2 linked regions of the Schizosaccharomyces pombe genome follow. The protein of the gene in region 1 binds, or shares a complex with, the protein of each later gene. Each region holds a gene or a part of one and is shown on either strand. Other genes may lie near its edges.

Region 1 (7,592 bases):
AACATTGGGTATTCATGCAATCTTCTTGATCCAAACATGACTATTTTTCGAATTGATGCAAACTCTTTCGGTGCCTTAGAAGAAGTAGAAGCTTTTATTAGAAACACATTATGCTTTAATTTTGGATACATGGGAACGGATGAAGAATTCAGATTTTTGTTGAAAGACCACAGTCCGCCATCTCCGAAACACGCCATAGTTATTGATGGGGATGCCCTGAACTTTGTTTTGTCTGAACAGGTCTCTTTTCTTTTTTTAATGTTATGTAAGCAGTGTAAGACAGTTTTGTGCTGCAGGGTTAGTCCCTCTCAGAAGGCAGCTGTTGTTGCTTTAGTCAAGAAGAGTCTAAATGTTGTCACTTTAGCAATTGGAGATGGCGCTAATGATGTTTCGATGATTCAAGAAGCCGACGTTGGAGTAGGGATAAAAGGCGTTGAAGGGCAAGCAGCTTCAATGTCGGCGGATTATGCCATCGGTCAATTTTCTTTCCTAGGGCGACTACTTCTAGTTCATGGACGATGGGACTATAAAAGAATGTCTCAAATGATTTCATTCTTTTTTTACAAAAATGTTATTTGGACATTTATACTTTTTTGGTATCAATTTTATAACGAGTTTGATGGAAACTACATATTTGATTATACCTACGTGATGCTTTTTAATCTGCTGTTCACATCACTACCCGTAATTATTGCAGGTTGTTTTGACCAGGACGTTGACGCATCTGTTTCAATGAAAAATCCAAGCTTATACCAACGGGGAATTTTAGGTCTAGAATGGAACGGAAAGAGATTTTGGTAAGTATAACTCTGAAGATTTCTGTTTGCTAAATATTTATTTTAGGTCTTACATGCTAGATGGAATATATCAATCATTGGTATGCTTTGGGGTAGCTCTATTTGTTTTTAAGTTTGGTGATTTTGTAAGTTGGACTGGAAGGAACATCGAGTGTATAGAAGACATAGGACTTTTTATATCCTCTCCTACTATTTTTGTAATCAACATTTTTATATTGATGAATCAAGAGAGATTGAATTTAATATCACTTATTACTTGGATGTTCAGCATAGGTGTATTTTGGATATGGACATTTATTTATTCAGAAGTTGGCCCCTCTTACGCTTTCCACAAATCAGCTTCGCGAACTTGTCAAACTTTTGGCTTTTGGTGTGTTACTGTTTTAACCATTGCCTTATGTTTGTTGCCTCGCTTTTCCTATATTTGCTTACAAAAATTGTTTTATCCTAGAGATATTGACCTTTTACGGAGACGACTTTGTGCAAAGTCAGATGATGAGACTAGCAGTAGTTCATCATTTGCAACAGATATAGAAATGTGCGAACAATGTAACGACCCATTAAGTTCGAAAAAAAATTCCGGTATTGTTACTTCAGTTTCATTCGATGATTCTAATAAGTAGCCATACATCTGAGTTCGCACTGTTTGTTTATGTAGTTATACTACTCCTACCGGACGAGAGTCTTTTTATTATCCTCAACATCACGAATGACTTTTTCTTAATGTTCCCTTTTTTTTCTAATAATTAATGATTATGATTAAGTCATTTTTTTAATAATCTTATAATAAACTAACATTATGAGACAAGCAAACTTCGTATGGTTGAATAAATTTTATTTACCTCTTTACAATGAGGACGATAAGTATGTAGAATGTAAAAAATATTAAACCCGAATTAATGTCTCAAGTTTTATTAATCTATAAACAGTTAATATAATTAGCAAAATTTACCAGCTGCTAATAAGTGCGTTGCAAATTTTTATAGTACATAGCGTAGTATAGTATACTACACTAATTATCACTCATTGGCTTGTTAACTACAGTGAAAATGCTAACAAACGGGAGGAACCAAAACACCACTTATACCACTGTGAGACAGCAATTTTTGAATTGCATTACAATCCGAAAATTCAAATGCCTCCATCTTCCTCTATAACTCAAGAGGATAAGGCAACTATCCGTAAATACATACCTAAAAGCACAAATAAAATCATTGCAGCAGCCGTCGTCAAGCTATATGTAGCTTATCCTGATCCGAACAAATGGAATTATACAGGTCTTTGTGGTGCTCTTGTATTGTCCTATGATACAACAGCAAAATGCTGTTGGTTTAAACTGGTTGACGTTGTGGTATGTGTATGAAGCTTTGATACTCAAAGCAAACTACAAAGAGTGGTATACAATTTAATTGAATTATAACCTTCTAACGTTTTAGAATAATAGTGGTATAATATGGGACCAAGAGCTTTATCAAAATATGGACTATCGCCAAGATCGTACATTTTTTCATTCTTTCGAGCTTGATAAATGCCTAGCAGGTTTTAGTTTTGCAAACGAGACAGACGCTCAAAAATTTTACAAAAAGGTTTTAGATAAAGGTTGCCATCCTGAATCAATTGAGAATCCGGTTTTGTCATTTATTACCAGAAAAGGTTCTTCTAGACATGCGCCTAACAACAGCAATATCCAACCTCCCTCAGCTGCTCCTCCTGTACCTGGAAAGGAAAATTATAATGCTGTTGGATCTAAAAGTCCCAATGAGCCCGAGCTTTTAAATTCGCTTGATCCGAGCTTAATTGATTCTCTAATGAAGATGGGCATTTCCCAGGATCAAATTGCTGAAAACGCAGATTTCGTCAAAGCGTACCTTAATGAATCAGCTGGTACACCTACCAGTACTTCTGCACCTCCCATCCCTCCAAGCATTCCTTCCTCTCGTCCCCCAGAGCGTGTTCCTTCTTTGTCTGCACCTGCTCCTCCCCCAATTCCACCTCCATCTAATGGAACTGTCTCTTCTCCTCCTAACTCCCCTCCCCGTCCTATCGCTCCTGTTTCGATGAATCCTGCTATTAATTCCACCTCGAAACCTCCACTCCCTCCACCATCTTCAAGAGTCAGTGCGGCAGCTCTAGCTGCTAACAAAAAACGACCTCCTCCGCCTCCGCCTCCATCCCGTCGTAATCGTGGTAAACCACCGATTGGTAATGGTTCTTCTAACTCGTCTCTTCCTCCACCTCCACCACCTCCTAGATCTAATGCTGCTGGCTCAATTCCTTTGCCGCCTCAAGGTAGATCTGCTCCTCCTCCACCTCCTCCAAGGTCTGCTCCTTCCACTGGGAGACAACCACCCCCTTTATCTTCATCTCGTGCAGTTTCAAACCCACCAGCCCCTCCTCCAGCTATTCCTGGTCGTTCTGCGCCTGCACTTCCCCCTCTTGGTAATGCATCACGAACAAGCACACCTCCTGTCCCTACACCTCCTTCTCTTCCTCCTAGTGCACCTCCATCTTTGCCCCCCAGTGCACCACCTTCTCTACCTATGGGCGCACCAGCTGCTCCCCCCCTACCACCTAGTGCACCAATTGCTCCTCCTCTACCCGCTGGTATGCCAGCTGCTCCACCATTGCCTCCCGCTGCACCAGCTCCTCCTCCAGCTCCAGCTCCTGCGCCCGCCGCGCCTGTTGCTTCGATAGCTGAATTGCCTCAACAAGACGGCCGTGCTAATTTAATGGCCAGTATCAGAGCCAGCGGTGGTATGGATTTACTGAAAAGCAGGGTAAGTATTGATATTATTACTTAATGGTTACTCGTACTAATATTTTCCAGAAAGTATCTGCTTCTCCTAGTGTCGCATCTACAAAAACTTCGAATCCTCCGGTAGAAGCACCCCCTTCTAACAATCTTATGGATGCATTGGCAAGCGCTTTGAACCAACGTAAAACCAAAGTCGCTCAGAGTGGTATGTCCGGATTTCTCGTATTTTTTTTCAAAAGTTCTTAAGTTTACTAATTCTTTCAGACGAAGAGGATGAAGACGACGATGAGTGGGACTAGTTATTAATATCTTTGAAATTACCTATACTTTTTTGATTCACACAGTCTTTTAAAGTTTTGTTAAACGACTTCACTATTTTTATTTGGATTTGTGTTTATTGTATTAGAGCAAACACCATTTATTCTAAATTGAATAACGCGAATTTGTGTTGATATTACTATTCATATATCGCAACACAGTGTGTATCTTTACTTTATTGTAAGTATGGGAGCAGTCACACATTTCGGTACCACAACTTTAGAAACGTCAAGTTCAAGTCCTTCCACAACCAAAAACGTTTGGTCAAATAGAAACAAATGGATCCCTCCAAATTGGCTAAGTTGCAGGCTGGCGCTCGTATTGGTATGTTCGAATGCATCCCCGTGTTTTGAAGTTGACACCAGCTCTAAGAAATGCCTTGAACGGTTTCAAAGTGGTTCCACTGTAATTGATGCTGGCTATTGAAAACACAGTTGTACTTTTTTCATAGAGAACTGCTTAATTAACTTATCATTGTATAGGTGGAAAGGGTACCCCTCGTCGTAAGGTGAAGAAGCCTTCTAAGTCTGCCATGAGTGCTGCTGATGACAAGAAGGTTCAAGGTGCCTTGAAAAAGTTGAATATGCAAAACCTTGCTGGCATCCAAGAGGTTAACATGTTCAAGGAAGATGGCGGAGTCATTAATTTCCGTGCACCTACCGTTCATTCCTCGCTTCCTAATGAAACTACAGCTATCTATGGTAAAGCAGAGGAAAAGACTTTGTCTGAGATTTTGCCTGGCATTTTGAACAACCTTGGTCCTGAATCCTTGACTGCCCTTCGTCAAATGGCTGAGCAATTAAAGGTCAGTGAAGGTGAAAAGGGAGCTGATGCACAAGCCGACGATGGAGAAATTCCTGACCTTGTCGAAAAGTTTGACGAACAAGATTAAATAAGCAACAAAATATTTCATGTCGGATTTTTGACTCAAGATTTGGGTGCTAATATATGTAAAGTGACTATGGTATTATCAGTAATTTGAAAAATCGTAATTATGTAATTCGTAAGATAAAGATTTTAGCAAATTTAAGTGCAGTAAGCGAGGGATATACTGACGCTTTGTAAATGCACGTTGGCAAGGTACAAGAGGTCTCTCTTGTACTTGTTAAGGTTATACAATTCAACCATTTTCAATATATAGTTTTCTTTGATTAATTTGGTTAAAAAATCTTTGCTGTCATTTTCCTTATAAGTAAGCTTGGCAATAATCTTTTTAAAGATGGTTTGGACTTATTCAAGAATTGCGGAAATTAGCCTACGTTAAGCATTTACTTCGTATTGTTAATAGGAATCGCTAATTTCAATAAACTAAATTTTCGATGCGGCGTGGTAGGCAATTATTGCAGAACACCCACGTTCCACAGTAAGTGCATCTCCCCCACACGATTGTCGCCGCTACCCCCGCTCAGCTGTATTTGTCGTTATTTATTGCAACGGCGTTATTGTTACGTTTTTCCACCTAAAACCTTTACAACAAACAGATTTGCTGGTTGTTAAAAGATAACAAGGATTTTTTACTTTAAGAGAGAAAGTGCTAAAATTATGAATTCAGAAGCAAGTGTATTTAGTAATATGGATTGGTAAGTTTTTTTCCTGGGATTTACCACATTTTACGATTTTCAAAAAATTGCGTTTCTGATACGCTTGAAATACTTTGAGTTTCAAATTGCCTTGTACTAACAACTTATGTTTTGTAGGAGCCAGCTGGCACATTCGTTACATAAAAAAGCAAATAACTCGAGTTCTTCAACAACTGGTGCTTTTCCTCAGTTAACATCTTTTACTAAACCTACTGCCACAAATGGAGTGGATTCTCCTACATCGTCTCATATTGACCCTTCTGTTTCTGCAAAATTGGATTCACAAAGAAAACTGTCTTTAAAAAGTGGCAATATGTGGGACTCTTTAAATGCACCTTCTGAATTGACTAGCAAAAATCCTACAGTATCGTCAACAACCTCATCAGCAAACCCAGCCATTGTTTCAAATGGTGGTTCTCCTTTTTATAAAAATCCAGTTGTTGCAAATAATCCAAGTAGCACCTTTGATATGTCTACCAATTTGTTTAATTCTAAAAATGCCAACACCTCTTTTACAAACGCTTTTTCTAATGAGGGCATATCTCCTGGATTTTTAAGGGATTGTTTTCCATCCTCGAATTCTATAACAACGGGCACAGCTTCTCCCAAACTGGGGAGCCCTTTTAATCATATCAATCGTCCTGTATTAGATCGCAGCCCTTCTTCATTTTCTCAAAGTCGCTCAGCGGTTTCTGGTAATATGAATCCCGGTGTTGGGACTTTGCAACAGCCGCAGCGTGCTGGTTCTGATACTTTTCCTGACTTGAACACTTCTTCAAGCAATCAACCAGGTGGGGAACCGAATGTTGCTTCAGCTAATACTCATTCTCTTGAAATTCTATCAAGCTCTGCTTACCATCCTTCTGGATCATCAAATGGAATATCTGCAGGTTTAACACAATCCGTGGCTTCTCCTGTTGGACAGGTTGATAATCTCGCAGATTTCTCTCAGTCCCCACTACGCAGAGGTCCATCTCGATTTCCCACTAATTCCAACGTTCCAGTGGGAAATTCAATGAGTATTAGAGACACTGATTCTCCACTAAATATTCTTGTTGATAAGGCCAAAGCTAAAGCATCTATTAAAGAGAACGCGTCCCAACCTGTTGCACCAAGCGCATCTCAACGTGAGCATTCTGCTGTCAATAGTCCTGCGGCTGCTATGTCTCCCTCTACAGCTATGTTTTCTTCGGAGGCGTTTCCTCAGCACTTGGCTTCGTTAATTCCTCCCGCTCTTCTGCATTGGCTTTATAAAGACCCTCAAAATAATGTCCAAGGCCCCTTTACTGGAGTAGATATGCATCAATGGTATAGAGCTGGTTATTTTCCTCTTGGCTTGCCAATAAAGAGGCTAGAAGAAGAAGAGTATTACTCTCTTGCCTTTTTTATTCGTCAGGTGGGCAACCAGTTGGAACCCTTCTTGGTTCCTCTATCACCTGTAACTGTTCAAAACGCCTCTTGGAATGCTCAAGGAACCGATCTTCCTTTGAGCAATTATCTTCCGGAGAGCTCTGAACAAAATAGAGGTGGAAACAAACACCTTGAATTATATCCCAGTACTGCGGAAGTTTCAAATGTTAGAAATGATGAATCAAAAGCAAACTCGTTATCTGAGATTTCCTATAATCAGCAATCCGAGTGCCGAAGTTCTGAGCTCAATGTTAATGAAGACAGTGCTAACCAAAAGGAGGAATCGGCCCTTGGTACTTCTGACAACTCTGATATGTATGAAAAAGAAAACACTCCCATTCATCATAATGAATCGTTAAATCAATTGTCAAAAGATCTCGGTTCTATCAGTCTCTCTGAGGAAACTAAGCAAGAAAAGCCGTCGAAGCTTAAGGAAACTGTTGAATCGAAAAGACTTTCTACGGGTGTGCAAAAACAGTCTCCTGCAGCTTCGAAAGAAATCCCCGTTACTAGCGGATCACAAACTACGGCTCCAAAGCCTTCTCCTTGGAAATCTCTTCCTCCTAAGCATTTACCTTCTCTCGATGAGACTATAAGTAGGGAAATGAGTATTGCTAGTTCTGAAGCGCTTCCTCAAGTTGAAAAATCTAACAGCGATCAACCACCTGTCGCCATTCCTAGCACTTCAAAAACCGGTTCACCTTGGGCTAAAGTTAGTGATGTGTCTACTTC
Region 2 (3,381 bases), on another chromosome or scaffold:
TTTATTAGTTATTCGGATCTACTCGTTTGGATTACTTTCACTTTTGTTTGATCATACATACAATCTTGGTCCTATTTTATGCGTGGGTACTTGGTTTATCCAAATATTTCAAGTGTTTCCATCCGCGATATACTACAGCTATTTAGAACTAATTGGAAACATACAAGTTAAATCTTGTGTTAAAATTACATGCAAAATAATAAGCATCATTAAAATCAAAAAATTTTATCCTTTATTATTTCCGCATTGGTATCTTACAAATTTTTTTGTGTTTAAAAACTAAATCGTGTAAAGCTCGAATTTTAATATTGTTGAGGATCACTAAAAGTGCTGCGAACTTTAAAATAGTCATTAATGGATCACTTATTCGCATGCCTGTGAATACATTCAACTGATTGAACGAAATCAGAATTAGAAATAAACTACTTCTGTTGCCTAATAGTAAAAACCGTTTATATGAAACCAAAAACTAATTTCATCAACATTTTTTTTTACATAATTAATGAGCTGCAAACATTGCAGATGATAATCAAGAAGCTAGAATCCATATTTTGAAAATAAAGATTTAATCATCGTCAGATGATTCATCTCTGTGCTCCTTGTTCATCTGAAACAAATACTTCTGTCACGATTGATTCACGGACAGTTTGATATCGAAAATTGAATAAGCTAGCAAACGAACTTGCTGCCATTGACAAGTTACATTGAGTAAGACAAAGTTGACTAGTTCTGAAATTATGCAGTCAAACAAAGGTTGACCATTGTGTGAAATATCCGCATATCATGAGTAAACAAAAAAATTATTGACTTTGATTATTTGAGCCATGCTTTAGCCGTATTCATGACTGACTAAAGCTGTGTTAATGAGTCACACATTATTACAAAAAGATTATGCGAAATGGAAAAATGTAAACATACAATTACTTTTACAACGAAAAAAACAACATGAGGGTAAAAAGCAAAAAGTTGTATTTAATACTTTTACATGGTAAGAGACATGATGGCGTTAACAACATCACTGTTGTTTTCCTTCAAAGCAGTAACGGCCTTGGCGCGAGAAACATTAGCTTGGGCCATAACCAACTCAATATCCTTAGCATCAACACCAGTTTCATCAACGGCTTTTTCTTGCTCAAAAGACTCCTCTATTTTAGCAGTATCGGCGGGTTGAGCATCGCCGGATTCTTCGGTAATAGCAGCTTCTTCCTTAGTCTCAGTAGCTTGCTTTTGAGACTCGTTGAAGGCACGAGCTTGGGCAGCCATATCTTCAACAGTAACCTTTCCAAGGACGATGTAAGCATTATTGCTACTCTTATAAACAATAGGCTCGTTGATAATCAACAAAATGTTCTTAGGACGACGCATAGCGACACGAGTGATTCCCTCAACACGTTTAAGACCCAACTTTTGAATCAATTTTTGAGCCTTCTCAGCATGGACAACGGTGGTGGATCCAGCAGGAAGCTCAGAAATTTTCTCTACAGGTTGTGATTCAACAGACATTTTGGATCAAAATAAAAGACTATTGTTGTAGTTGGAAGTGATTCAATCGTTGACGCATTCGTTTTTCATGTTTGTCGAACTCTGATATTACCGTGACTGTCTTTTGGGAGCGGTAGTAGGGCATAGCAAACTAACCCTTATTGTTTGATTAGAAAACATAGCTTCAGTTATTACTTATATGTAAGAGAGTTAGTGATAGTGTATAATTAATAGTTTCGGCGCGTCTCTTAATCTCCTTCGAATTACCACGGTTATCGCATATTTTCGTTACATTATTGTAGAATAATTTTTTGTTATTTTGAAACGACAGTTTAAAAAGAAATTTATATTTTAGTACCCTTTCGGTTTTTTACACAGCGCCTTTGCAGAACAAACAAACTATGTCGCTTTCTGGATTATTGCCGCCGAATCTGGGTGGAAATTCGCCCAATGCAGATGGAAATTTGACACCAGAAGAAAAAGCTGCTTTACAACAAGCAAAAATAATCGGCTACATGAACAGGATATCAGAAAGCTGCGTCTTTAAAAGTAGCATGGCCGGTGTACTAGGTTTTGGCTTGGGTGGTATATTTGGTATGTTCATTTCCTCTCTGGATTTGCAACACATTGATCCCAAGATCTATGAGAAGCCATTTCGTGAACAAATTCGTATTCAAGCAAGGGATATGGGTAGCCGCTCATTCTCTACTGCCAAAAATTTTGGTTTATTGGGTTTAATCTATTCCGGTTCAGAATGCTGTATAGAGGCATTTCGTGCTAAAACTGATATTTATAACGCCATCGCCGCCGGTGTTTTTACAGGTGGAGCTTTGGCTGTGCGTTCAGGACCTAAGGCAATTGTTCTAGGAGGCGCTGGTTTTGGTTTATTTTCTTATGGAATTGAAAAGTATATGCACTGGGGAGAATAAATTATACCTTTCATTATTCAATTGACTGGACATTTTTTTTTACCTTCATGTGTTGCTCTTTTAATAGATGCTTACGTTCTGTCTGCGTTAACCGGGTTGACTTCCATAACCTATCATCCATTAGTATAATTCCTTTTTCTTCTGACTAATCTGCACTGTTTACTTTAGCATGATATTCTTACTGTCCTTGTTTACGCTCGTTCATTTACCGACACCTTTCCATTGCATCAAAAATACTTAATTATTAACATTCCTCTTTCTATACCATATGATCATTATATCACTTATTAATTAAATACATCACTGTTTTGGCTTCTTTCTCGCACCGGTTGATAAAGCTGCAGTTGGTGGAAGCCTTGTTATAAAGGAATCACGAGAGTTCGATGCTGTAGTTGTAATTCCGGACGCCGAGGTTGTAGTAGATATTGTAGTGGCAGTTGGGGTTGATGGTAATGCTCCTGCAAGAGCTAATCTAGTAGCACGGATGGGTTCTCTGTAATTGTTTTGATGCGATAGCTGTACCGCTTTCAGCCTTTCAAGAAGGTCCGTCCAGTATGGATCATCCCGCCTTGATCGAGGTAACCTTTCATTAGCTAAAATAGTATTTGTCCTTGGAGTTGAAGAGCACTGAAGTCGATCTCTTAAGGTCCGAAACGCTGAAGACTGAGGTAACAACATCAATATCCCATACAGGGCTTTGTGAAGGTACGGGTATTTTTCAGGCTCTAATAATTGTAAGCGCATATCTAATGTCATTAGTAATATGTAAAACAATTATTCAATTGCACCCACATGTGAAGACCGGGGATTCTATTAATTGAACTAACTTGTCCAACTGTATCAACATATCGATATTAAACTCAATTTCAGCACTAATCACATAGGTTAATAAAAAATTAAAGTTTTTTTAGATCACATACAAAACTGAGAGCAAATTTGCAGCGTGCTCATAATTTTGCGATAAAAGGCA

Evidence for each region. Proteins that work in one complex are often made in the same cells at the same time.
Region 2: btf3 (region 1) and egd2 share a complex: the UniProt entries of both Schizosaccharomyces pombe proteins name them as parts of the nascent polypeptide-associated complex.

The regions. Positions count from the first base shown.
Region 1 is NC_003424.3:4,857,789-4,865,380, reverse strand, and holds btf3 (nascent polypeptide-associated complex beta subunit), read left to right. Parts: upstream 1-4,116; 5' UTR 4,117-4,148; coding exon 4,149-4,194; exon of another isoform or gene 4,195-4,352; coding exon 4,353-4,762; 3' UTR 4,763-4,845; downstream 4,846-7,592. Other genes in the region: SPOM_SPAC4F10.16C (P-type ATPase), read left to right, coding at 1-797, 844-1,420; wsp1 (actin assembly factor), read left to right, coding at 1,933-2,148, 2,234-3,574, 3,625-3,757, 3,817-3,851; mpd2 (GYF domain protein), read left to right, coding at 5,413-5,450, 5,568-7,592. UniProt on the Schizosaccharomyces pombe protein: Component of the nascent polypeptide-associated complex (NAC), a dynamic component of the ribosomal exit tunnel, protecting the emerging polypeptides from interaction with other cytoplasmic proteins to ensure appropriate nascent protein targeting.
Region 2 is NC_003423.3:3,273,976-3,277,356, forward strand, and holds egd2 (nascent polypeptide-associated complex alpha subunit Egd2), read right to left. Parts: upstream 1,548-3,381; 5' UTR 1,504-1,547; coding exon 982-1,503; 3' UTR 953-981; downstream 1-952. Other genes in the region: TIM22 inner membrane protein import complex subunit Tim22, read left to right, coding at 1,884-2,411; vac14 (phosphatidylinositol synthesis protein), read right to left, coding at 2,712-3,157, 3,204-3,283, 3,332-3,381. UniProt on the Schizosaccharomyces pombe protein: Component of the nascent polypeptide-associated complex (NAC), a dynamic component of the ribosomal exit tunnel, protecting the emerging polypeptides from interaction with other cytoplasmic proteins to ensure appropriate nascent protein targeting.